Arabidopsis thaliana: one gene and its partners. The protein of the gene in region 3 purifies or fractionates together with the protein of the main gene of each other region. This does not show direct contact. Each region holds a gene or a part of one and is shown on either strand. Other genes may lie near its edges.

Evidence for each region.
Region 1: the proteins of SERAT1;1 (region 3) and OASA2 purify together in Arabidopsis thaliana (affinity purification with mass spectrometry, with the first as the bait; one study listed by BioGRID). This does not show direct contact.
Region 2: the proteins of SERAT1;1 (region 3) and CYSD2 purify together in Arabidopsis thaliana (affinity purification with mass spectrometry, with the first as the bait; one study listed by BioGRID). This does not show direct contact.

Annotation. Positions count from the first base shown.
Region 1 is NC_003074.8:7,962,247-7,966,000, reverse strand, and holds OASA2 (O-acetylserine (thiol) lyase (OAS-TL)), read right to left. Parts: upstream 1,875-3,754; 5' UTR 1,811-1,874; coding exon of another isoform or gene 1,798-1,810; coding exon 1,753-1,797; intron 1,665-1,752; coding exon 1,401-1,664; intron 1,325-1,400; coding exon 1,288-1,324; coding exon of another isoform or gene 1,232-1,287; intron 1,228-1,231; coding exon 1,187-1,227; intron 1,108-1,186; coding exon 1,056-1,107; intron 901-1,055; coding exon 821-900; intron 731-820; coding exon 671-730; intron 517-670; coding exon 436-516; intron 343-435; coding exon 250-342; 3' UTR 94-249; downstream 1-93. Other genes in the region: AT3G22450 (Ribosomal L18p/L5e family protein), read right to left, coding at 2,623-3,558.
Region 2 is NC_003076.8:10,026,817-10,030,570, forward strand, and holds the start of CYSD2 (cysteine synthase D2), read right to left. Parts: upstream 1,907-3,754; 5' UTR 1,735-1,906; intron 1,720-1,734; exon of another isoform or gene 1,364-1,719; 5' UTR 1,351-1,363; coding exon 1,312-1,350; intron 1,223-1,311; coding exon 1,055-1,222; intron 1,053-1,054; exon of another isoform or gene 967-1,052; coding exon 703-966; intron 612-702; coding exon 474-611; intron 395-473; coding exon 343-394; intron 150-342; coding exon 70-149; intron 1-69. Other genes in the region: DES1 (L-cysteine desulfhydrase 1), read right to left, coding at 3,677-3,754.
Region 3 is NC_003076.8:22,961,019-22,964,772, forward strand, and holds SERAT1;1 (serine acetyltransferase 1;1), read right to left. Parts: upstream 1,696-3,754; 5' UTR 1,565-1,695; coding exon 1,121-1,564; intron 975-1,120; coding exon 480-974; 3' UTR 211-479; downstream 1-210. Other genes in the region: AT5G56770 (transcription repressor-like protein), read right to left, coding at 1,976-2,215, 2,335-2,737, 2,850-2,971; ET2 (effector of transcription2), read right to left, coding at 3,366-3,754.

The DNA of each region.
Region 1 (3,754 bases), on a different chromosome or scaffold from region 3:
ATTGTACCAAGCTTGGGGCTATTTATAAAGTAGATGTAGTTGTCCTCTCGTCACTGTTTTTGATCACACAAGATTTCAAATAGAGAGAGCAAAAACTCAACCAGAAACTTTCTAGAAATGGATTGTTCATAGTAGCAGACAAACTACTTTTGAGTTCTCACAAATGACAAGATACAGACAGAATCTGAAGATATATATGTTGGAAGAAAGATCATTTATTTGTATCACCAAGAAGAAAGGGGAACAGATTCAGGGCTCAAAGGTCATAGTCTCTGCCTCTTTCCTTGCTGCATCAAACAGTACAGTCGATAGATATCTTTCCCCGAAACTCGGAAACACCGCCTGAAACATTCAGTTTCACATCTCTTATTATAAGATCGACTCTTAAGCTTCCATGAGTTCACTGTTTGTTCTTTAGCTTTGGAAAAAACGTACCACTATAAGCTTCCCAGCATTTTCTGGCCTCTTTGCAAGTTTGATTGCTGCAGTAGCTGCTGCTCCAGATGAGATTCCCACCTACAGTACATAGGAGGAGACAAATGTGATAACGATCAAGGACCTGTTTTTATTTTCATGGTGAGGTTTGAATCATAATGGTGAGGATAAAGCTGAATCAAGACATTTTTGGCTTAACAGAAAAATCTGATGAGGCAAAATGTGAAGCACTTACTAACAGACCCTCTTCCCTAGCAAGAAGCCTTGCCATGTCAATGGATTCTTCACTTGAAACCTGCGTAAGCGTTACAAAACTATAAGAGGCAACTAAGAAATGTAAGGTGTGTTTTGGAGTCAGCAAGATGATATTGGTATGAAACCTTACCTGAACAACTTCATCTATAAGATCAACATCCAAAATGCCTGGAATAAAACCAGCACCTATACCTTGAATTTTGTGGGGACCTGAGCATTTTTACCAATGTGTTAGGCTGAAATTCAATGAATCTTGATATGAACACCAAAAGTTAGAAGGACCTCATAATGAACACTCAAGACTAACATGTGAGCAAAGTAAAAGAAGAAAAAGTGTGCCAAAGAGTTCCTTATTGAGGACAAACCTGGCTTTCCACCGGACAGAATAGGGCTTTCAACAGGCTCGACACCATACAGCTATAAGATGAGAAAACAAATGAGACAAGTTTTGAGTTTACTAAGAAAGAGTCTGATTGTATAAGTAAATGAAATTCACCTTTATGTTTGTGTTCTGTTCCTTGAGATACTTCCCAGCACCTGTTCAGGTACCACCAGTACCAATACCAGAAACAAAGCCATCCACTTTTCCACCAGAACCTTTCCATATCTCAGGTCCAGTAGTCTCATAATGGATCTGCAATGAACACAATACTATGTTATAAGTATCTGACTTCAAATCCACTAAGGCACTTAAACTAAATAGTAATTACCTTTGGATTAGCAGGATTCTCAAACTGTTGAAGCATATAACCATTAGGTGTTTTCGCCAAAATCTCCTCCGCCTTTGCAACAGCACCTTTCATACCTTTAGCCGGATCAGTAAGAATCAACTCAGCTCCAAAAGCTAAGAGAATGATTCTTCTCTCTATACTCATTGAAGCTGGCATTGTTATAACAAGCTTATAGCCCTTTGCAGCTGCAGTAAATGCTAAACCAACTCCAGTGTTCCCACTTGTTGGCTCAATCAACACACTCTAAAGAAAAAACTCAAAAGTTAAAAATCTCAAAAACTAACAAATGAAGAATCTGACTAATAGCTTCCATTTAAAAAAAAAAACAGACCTCTCCCGGTTTAATAAGTCCTTTAGCTTCTGCATCAGCAATCATACTATAACCAATCCTGCAACAAAAAAGAACAAAGTACAAGTATTTGTTTCTTTTGTCACTAACAGAGAAACTAGAAAACAGAGCTTTTAAACTTTTCGGAAGCACCTGTCTTTGACGCTAGAACATGGTTCCATCATCTCAAGCTTAGCAGCAACATGACCAACACAATCTTTAGCTACTTTGTTTAGATACACTAATGGAGTGTTCCCTATTAGCTGCTCCCAAATAATAAAAAATATCAATTAAAAAAAAAACATTTACTGACAAGACATAGTTGAAGAAAGACATAATCTTGGAGGTTACTTACTTCAGTTACATCTTTAGCGATTTTAGGAGCCACTGAAGCCATGTTTCAAGCTCACTGCTTAGATTTCACAAAAGAAAAAAGATGAATGCAATTGTTAAATATCATGTATAATTAATCAAAATATTCGATTAATATAGGATCATCTCATCATCTGATTATAGGTTTACAACAACAACAAAAAAAAAAAACTTATTTAAAACTTTTCATTTCACGCCAACTTTGTCCTGATCATGATGCATCAAAAACTTTCCAGATGAATAAACAAACCATGATATATATATCATCATACCTGAAAATATATCGATCTAGCAAATAAAAATCGGTGGGAATTGTGAACAAAGGTCGATCGGCTATGGAAGAGCAGAGAAGTTACGTATAAGAAAACGATGATATCATTGTTAGAAAGTCAACACTTTGACCCGACAAGAAACGTAGAAATGAAACGGATAACATTTTTTGGGCCCCACACAGAAACATATCTTCTGGGCCCATATTACAAACTAGAAAATTTCAGTCCTCTAGGCCATCATTAGATGACTAGTCTTCTTCTTAAGTTTCCTCTGCTTAAGCTTCACTTTAACATTAACACCATTGTCAATAAGAGCTTGAAGCACGACCTGAAGCTTACCTTCAATTTTATCTCCTTTCCTAGGAGTGTATATAACATCATGTATGTCATCTTCCAAACTTCTTTGAGCAAGAACTGCCCCAACCGCAGCGCAAGCTGCAACGTTTCTTCTCGAACCAAGATCGAATTTCATGTCTTTTGAAATCGAATGAGCCACAGTTACAACCTTACTAGTCACCCTGTGAATCACACATGCTCGTACAGACTCTTTCGAGATGTATATGTCTAAGCAAAACGGGTAGTGAAATGGCGCCGTGAGTTGGTTAAACGTAAATGTTCTTTCTCTCTTCTTCACAGCTTCATTAGGATGATCCGTCTCACCTGTGAAAGAGTCATTTCTCTTCTTGTATTCGTCACGAACTTCCTTCTTGTTATCCTTCTTTATCTTTGTTTCTTCTTCTTGGTTTTGCTCCTTTTTAGCGTTCTTGTGTTGATTCTTGCGGTGGAAGTCATAGTTGTATTCCTCGAATTCTTTTGAACCTCGATCGAGCTTGAAGAAAAGATCACCGCGAATTCTCATGTTATCGATTTCATCGTGATCGGGATCTTCATCATCGAGTATTGTTTCTCTTACTCCTTGTATTGTAACGGGAGAGTTTTTTGCAGTGTCTGCTTGGAACTGTCTCCAAGCTTGGGATAAAGATGATGAAACATGCCAAACATCATCATCCACAGTTTCTATACCACAACCACTCAAACCAGTCACTGTAACTTTACCACTTTCACTGTTGGAAAATCTCGAGGAGAAGCAACGCGGTGCAGGTCGAAAAACGGAGATAAAATCTGGCAAACGGAGACACTTTCTTCTCAAAACCATCAAAGCCATTGAAGGAAAAGAGACCAATTCTGAAAACGCACGTGAAAACTAAACGGTAAGATTTCAAAGAGACATATCGTCGAACATCTGGTGTGCAAGGTTGGTAAAGAGAAATTTCTCACCACTGGCTTTGTGTCTTGTACCGAAATTGAATCACCACTTTGCTCAATGAAGAAGAAATGCAATTCAACAGAGAACTGGTGGG
Region 2 (3,754 bases), about 13 Mb from region 3:
AAATCAAAAGATTCCAGATCTTAGATTATTTGTTCAAGATCAAGAAGTAGATCATATCAGGCTACTTACTTGAATAATTTCATCAACAATGGTTAAGTCCAAATTGAATGGGACGATACCAGAGCCAATTCCCTGAATCAAATGTGGACCTACAAATATGAAGTCCCATAAACCGATATTATAATTAGAAATGCAAGAACTCGGACAAAAGAACGATGATCTTATAGATAACTTGGCGCGTATGTTAATGTTGTCACTATATATATGTACATTAAATCTCATACAAAACAACAAATCAATACTATATGTTGCATAAGATCTATCAAATGTTCATTTTCTGACCTGGTTGACCTCCGCTAAGTACCGGACTTTCTACTGGTTCCACCACACAAACCTATAAGATCAAGATTGTAACCGAGTTATTAAAAACCGAGTTTTTGGTTGTTTTTAAGCGTTAGTGAAAGTTTTTGTACCTTGATGTCTTTGTTCTGCTCCTTGAGGAACTTCCCTACTCCAGTAGCAGTTCCACCAGTCCCTACGCCAGCGACCAATATATCTACTTTCCCGGCTGAATCTCTCCATATTTCCGGTCCCGTGGTTCGGTAATGAATCTGCAAGATACAAACTTGTGTTCAATGAAGACATAGAGAGACTAAAAGCATATACATAATTGTGTTGGATGCATGATATTATTTTATCAACCTCGGGGTTTGCAGGATTTTCAAATTGTTGTGGAATGTAACCACCAGGAGTTTTGCTTAAAATCGCTTCAGTTTTCTCCAACATTCCTTTAAGGCCTATGCGCTGGTCCGAGAGATGAAGCTCTGCACCTAGTGCCCTCAGAATGATTCTTCTCTCTAAGCTCATAGTTGAAGGCATCACAAGGATCACTTTATAGCCTCTTGCAGCTCCCATGCAAGCTAAACCAATCCCGGTGTTACCAGCAGTTGGCTCTATCAATGTACTCTATAATCAAAAACAATTAAATTCCATCTATGTATTCTTTATAAATTATGGAGAAACTTTTATGATAACTTTAAATGTTCATATTAACCTTTCCGGGAGTAATCAATCCTTTGTCTTCTGCATCTTTGATCATACTATACGCGATTCTGTCTTTGACGCTAGAACAAGGCTCCATCATCTCAAGCTTCGCAGCGATACGAGCCACGCAACCATCAACAACATTGTTCAGATACACCATTGGTGTGTTACCAATCAACTGCACAAACATAGAAAAAGATTTTAGACATGTTCTTTGTATCATAAAAAAGCAAAGTGATACATATATAAGAAATTAGAGATTATTACTTCAGTGATATCGTTCTTGATCAAGCACCGATCTTCCATGTTGGTCTGTTTTCTGAAACTATTGAAAAATCAATATTTGGGTACCAACTACTAAAGAACAAAATGGATTTATGAAGTCCAATAACCATAGAATAAGATTCAAGAATCTAGACACAAAGCACAAAATACTCAATGGTCAAAGTTTGCTAACAGACTCTATTTACAATGCACAAGTAAGATTCAAGAACAATCTTGGCAATTTTTTGGTTATATTGTTTCATAACTAAAATTTTTAATATGGAACTTCTAAACTCTAAAGTAGATAAGAGACAAAATAAAAATTTAGTAAAGAACAGTGAAAACTAGATAAATTTGATACCAAAATCAAGAAATGATAGTAAGACTAAATCAGAACGAACAAGAACAAAAAAAAAAAAGTCGTACCTTTGCGTTTAAACGAATTATTAGTGAAGAAGACAAGGCTGTATTCTAGATTAGGATATATAGAGACTACCCTACTTTGCATGTGGTGCACACTGAACGATGTTGAAGTATGAAGACGAGTTTATGTCATCATTCTTGTATAATAATGTTAAAAATTTGACATCTAAAGAGTTTTTGTCATATTGCGTAATGAGAGCATCCAATAGTTGTATTTTGTTATTAAAACAAAATCTGCAGATAAACATTTAACACTATTATTAAAATGTTTAAGAGCATTATATTGTCCTTTTCTCTAGTACTAATCATGTGTTACTTATCCGAACGATCGAATAATATTACACCTAAGTGGTCACAGATCAATTTTTTAACCACATGATTTTCTTAACACAAATCAAATTTTCATAACCACATGCTTTTTCATTTTATAGAATACAATGTGTCGTTATAGTAAGTTAGTGACACAATTTGCTTGCATTGGTTGCCCAAATTACTTGAAATTGCAGAAAAGTTTTTTTTTTTGTATGAATGTAAAATTATATTCAACAAAAAACTGTTTTACAAAAGATGTAACATTAAGAATAAAAAGAATGAAAAAAACAGAACTACTTAGACAGTCTTGGGAATACAGTTTTGATTGGCCGCCTTCAAGCTTGGCAATGCCCAATTGGTGAATGGTGCTGAACATTTTGATCAATGATTTTTGGAGATTTTTGCTTCTTTTTTCTTTGGACAACTGTTTAAATTTTCTTTTTTGTAGAAACACACTTAAACATGTTCTTGACCAAGTGTAGTTAGCTCAATTGATAATTATCCTAGGTGAAATTTAGAGGTCGCCGGTTCGAGTGACACTTGGGACGAAACTAATATTACATGTTGTGGTTTCGGGCCTGGAAAGATTATGAAGTTCGGTACAAAACCTTCTGGTATTCAAAAAAAAAAACAACATGTTTTTGAAATGTTAGGTCCGAAGAAAACAAATAATCAAAAACTATAAACATAGAAGAGTCTCTCGTTTGTGCGGAGGGTTGTGGTATGTGTTTATTGAAGAAGACTCGGTACACATGAATTAGGGATTAAACCGGATTCGGTTCCGGATTTATTGAAGACCGTTAGTGAGTTAACAGAGTTAGCTAAAAGCTCTGTATCAAAACAAGCTCTAGTTAATGTGTTTGTATCTAATTTTCAATTCAATTACAAACAAGAGTCATGAGTGTTGATGTAGGGATCACACAAGTACGATGTTTCTCTAGGAAGAGTTAAAGAATCCGTCTCGGTTAACAGGCCGATGACTAGACGAGAATTTCTTGACTAAGGGACGTGGTATTGTGACGGAATGATCGAAACAGGATGAGATCGGCGATGTGTAGACAAGGCGAGGTCTTGGAGACGAGGTGAGGTCTTGAAGATGAGGCGAAGTCTTGAAGACGAGGTGAGGTCTTGAAGACGAGGCGAGGTCTTGAAGACGAGGTGAGGTCTTGAAGACGAGGCGAGGTCAATGGTTGTACTGCTGTCCTTTCTCTGTGTCAGCGGGAATTGCGCATTTCCTTTCATTCCTTTCCATTCTTGTACTTATAGGACCTGTCCTTTTAGGGTTTCCTTTTTATGCTTGTAAGTCTTTACCACTTTTTCCACTCTGCACAGTACATCTGTCCTCTTTGCCCTCTTCCTTTGGTCGATGGAACACTCCAGATCTTTTCTATCACTTACTGGGCTTGGTTTGGGCTTATTATGTTCATGGGCCAAAACCGACCATTAACAATGAGTAAGATTTAACGTTTGATTGTGACGGTCTAGCGATCGGATTATATCAAAATTAGTTAATGAACAACTTATAATTGATCATCAAGGAATATGTAACTCTTATTGATTTTACAATGACCTACAATAATCAAAATGTAACCTTGGTACCAACATCTCTTATTGAATCCTACGTTACTACTACTCATTCAACTGGCAAATTCTCAGCTTCATATCTGACTGACTCGAACAATTCAGTCGATAAATAACGTTCTCCTCCACT
Region 3 (3,754 bases):
CCTGAACTATTTGGATCATCAGATTGAAACTTTTTAGTCTGAATTGAATTGTAAATGGAAATGGAGACCAATCCTTCTTTGCAGAAGCCGTAAGTTATATACTGATATAAGATACGCATAAGGATTAGTTGCGGTTGACGAAAACATAGTCCCTCATGAACCGGGGTAAAGGCGAAGAATGCTTCACTTAGTCTGAACAAGTTCAATGCTCCTCGATGTTTGTCAAGCCCGTAAAATGGATGCAGACAAGTGTAAATCCGAGCCAAACCCGAATACAAAGTAGAAGAAGTGTATAAACTCTTGGATAACTAATGATTGAATAATAACATCAAATTAAGGCCATTTCTTGTATTGAACATCGTAAGATGTTTTGTAAATTACAAATACAACAAAGCTCACTTACCTCAGCACCTCTCTATAAGCGAATGGTCAGAAAGTTTTTCACTTTCAAAACCACAGAAACAATTATAACAACAACTTTATATGATGTAATCTGACCATTCCGAGATGAATGAAGTATGATCCATCGATTCTCCAGGACATTCCTCATCATGAATCGTTGGCTTCTCTTTCCCTCCGACAAGTCTCGCCGGATTCCCAACCGCAGTACCTCGACAAGGCACGTCAATCAGCACAACAGAACCAGCTCCTACTTTAGCACCTGCACCAATCTTCACATTTCCAAGAATAGTCGCTCCAGCTCCAATCAAACAACCGTCACCGATCTTCGGATGTCTATCTCCACAAGCTTTACCTGTTCCACCTAGTGTCACATGGTGAAGGATTGAAACATTGTTCCCAATCACCGCTGTTTCTCCGACTACAACTCCGGTTGCGTGGTCTAGAAGTATCCCTTTTCCGATCTTCGCTGCTGGATGGATATCAACAGCGAATACATCGGAGATTCTTGAGTGTAGAGCTAATGCTAATGGCTTCCGTGATTGTGTCCATAGCTTGTGTGATACACGATGCGCCTAATTCAAATTCAACAAAGCCAAATCATGATCCGAAATTCGCATAACTGAAGAATCAACCTAACCTAACCTAAAACAATATTCATAAATCAAATCGCAAGATATAGAAATTGTGGATTCATCAGATCAAATGATGAAGATTTCACCTGAATAGCTAAGAAGCCTTTGTAATTGAGGAGACAATGAGAGAACGAGATACAAGCAGGATCACGAACACGAGCAGCGCGTAGATCTGCGACGGTGGCGTTACGAAGAGAAGGATCGGAGGAAAAAGTGTTTAAGAACAGATCGTATAAAAGTGTGGATAAAAGCGTTGAGGAACAAAGCTTGTTTCCTAGATGAAACGAGATAGATCGTTCAAGAGACGAATGAGAAAGAATCGTCGAATATAGATAGCTAGCTAAAGCTGGCTCCGCCTCAGCATCACGGCGAGCTTCCGCCTTGATCTGTGTCCATAATCCGGCAGCTTCCGCATCTGCAGCTGCCGCAGATATCGCTGCTGACGCTGCTTCTGCTTCATCGGATTGGGTAACGGAAGATAGTTTCTCCTTTGATGGAGATTGATGTCGGAGTTCTCCGGCCGGTGGCATATTAACGCGGCGATAAGATTCGATTTCTATCTCCTCCTACCTATAAAAGTTAATTTTCGAGACGCTCTTTAATCGTGCGGAAATTTTTAAATCCATAGATTAAAGACAATGATAGTCCACCTGGTGCGTGATTAACGTGATTTTTAGAAAATAAAATCGGAGCCGTCAGTTTTATGCTTTATCAATAACCGTTAGATTAGATTTATCTTTCCGTTAATCGACGGTGGTGATTCTGCCGACATTCTTACCAAACTTTTTCCGTAACAAATTTTTGATCAAAAAAAAAAAGAAACTATACAAATTAACTACTAACACTACAAATTTGAAACGTGAATAAGTGGGTTACAATCCAATTAATTTAGGAGAAACAAAAGCCATATCTTTGACCTAGTCGATGTAGGTTTACTCCGGTTAACCAAATGGTCTCATCACTTTGAGTGTTGAAGTGAGGAAAGTATAATTACTCTTCTCTACTTTGATGGTAACAACTTGGTCTCGAATAGAAGGAACTAGCACTTGTGACTTTCTCTTGCTCATAAACTCGGGGTCACCGAGCTTCTGTAACTCAAGATGGCGTCGTTCCCCATTACTGCATGTGTTCCATGCATAATCAAAAGTGCTCAAAAGCATCCCTTCTGTTGCAGCAGCTTCCTACTTAATTAGATCCCATCTGATAAATCACGGTAAAGCAGAGAAACAATCACATGAGTTAGGATCAAAGGTGTATACGTAGCAGACCAACTAGAGAAGATAAGAAGACATGTATTTACTGGTGCCCATCTATAAAAAACTGAGTATCCTTCCGAGAATATGTCCTCATATAAACCCGAGGGCAAATGACCACCGCGTCTTCCATAATCCTGGAGTCTTGATTTTACGTCTACACATTGTCCGACATATACACCAAGAACATTATTATCAGGATCAAAGTTTTGGCCTTGGTCTTGACCGATGACGCCTACACCGAGCTCATACAGACCCGTACAACGTTGAGGGGGTAAGTCCTCATGTCTGTATCTACGGACCCTTTCTTTTCTATTATTGAAATCTTTCCAATCATTGTGTCTTATAAGATTCCGCCATTTGGAGAATGCGATGTCGTGTATAGTCAGCTTGTAGTCTTCTCTCTTGAACATAGTGGGGACGGCGGAACTGAATTCCTTTCCGATCAATCTGGTGATACATTATGACCATTAATTTAAAGCCTGAAGGACCAATAATAGTAAGAAAAAAAACAGAGGATAAAAATGCAACAACATTGTGAATAGATGAGATGATAAGAGACCTATTGTTCAAGAGCTGACTTATCCCCGGCATAATGGTTGTGCTTTTTTGCGTGCTAATGATTGTGTGTCGTATATGGTTAAACTTCAACTTCGCCATCTTCGATAATAGAACAAACGACATTGTCAAACAAAATAAAACAGAACAAAACGGTTCTGCTACAGAAAAATAATGAAAGAAGGCAGCTCTGATATATTACGATCGTAGATATATGGAAGAAGCGAAGGGAAGTTGAAAAAGAAATGGGTCGTTTACAGTTTTTCGCATCATGGACAAGTAACAAAGTGGAGGCATGGCGGGAAACGGGTCTATGTATTTTTAAATCTAAAAACATCTAATGTAATGCAAAGATGCAAGTCAACGATGTTAATCAAAACTGATTTTAAATTTATAAAAAATGAGATTGTGAGTCATCCAGTACAGATGATTGTTCAGCAAACCAATACCGAAACCAAAACGGTTTTGGTACAAACAATTCTGGTTAGGTAACAAATAACATAAACAAGTGATGCAGAGGTTAGGTGATTCTCATTCCCTTATGCTCTTCACATCTCTTACGTCCTTTTACCGGAGATCTCTCACAGATCAATCCATTGCCTAATTTAACTCCACAAGCTACGTTTTTTGCTGCCTCTGGCTGAAAATATACCGGCGAAGTATCGCTGGAAGTTTTCTCCTTATGTTGCCAACACCTTTTGCTTCCTTTAGGAGAACTTCTTGTGCAAGGTAACCCATTCTTTGTTGTAGCTTCACAGAAGCGAGTCAAAGCTTCTTCTTCGATTGACTCGGTATGCGATTCGGGATCAGGTTTCTCGTCTTTGACGGTTTTCTCACGGTCAGTTTGGTTAAGAAGAAAAAGAAAAGCATTGATCCTCATGCCTTTATGATCCTCACATCGTTTTCTTC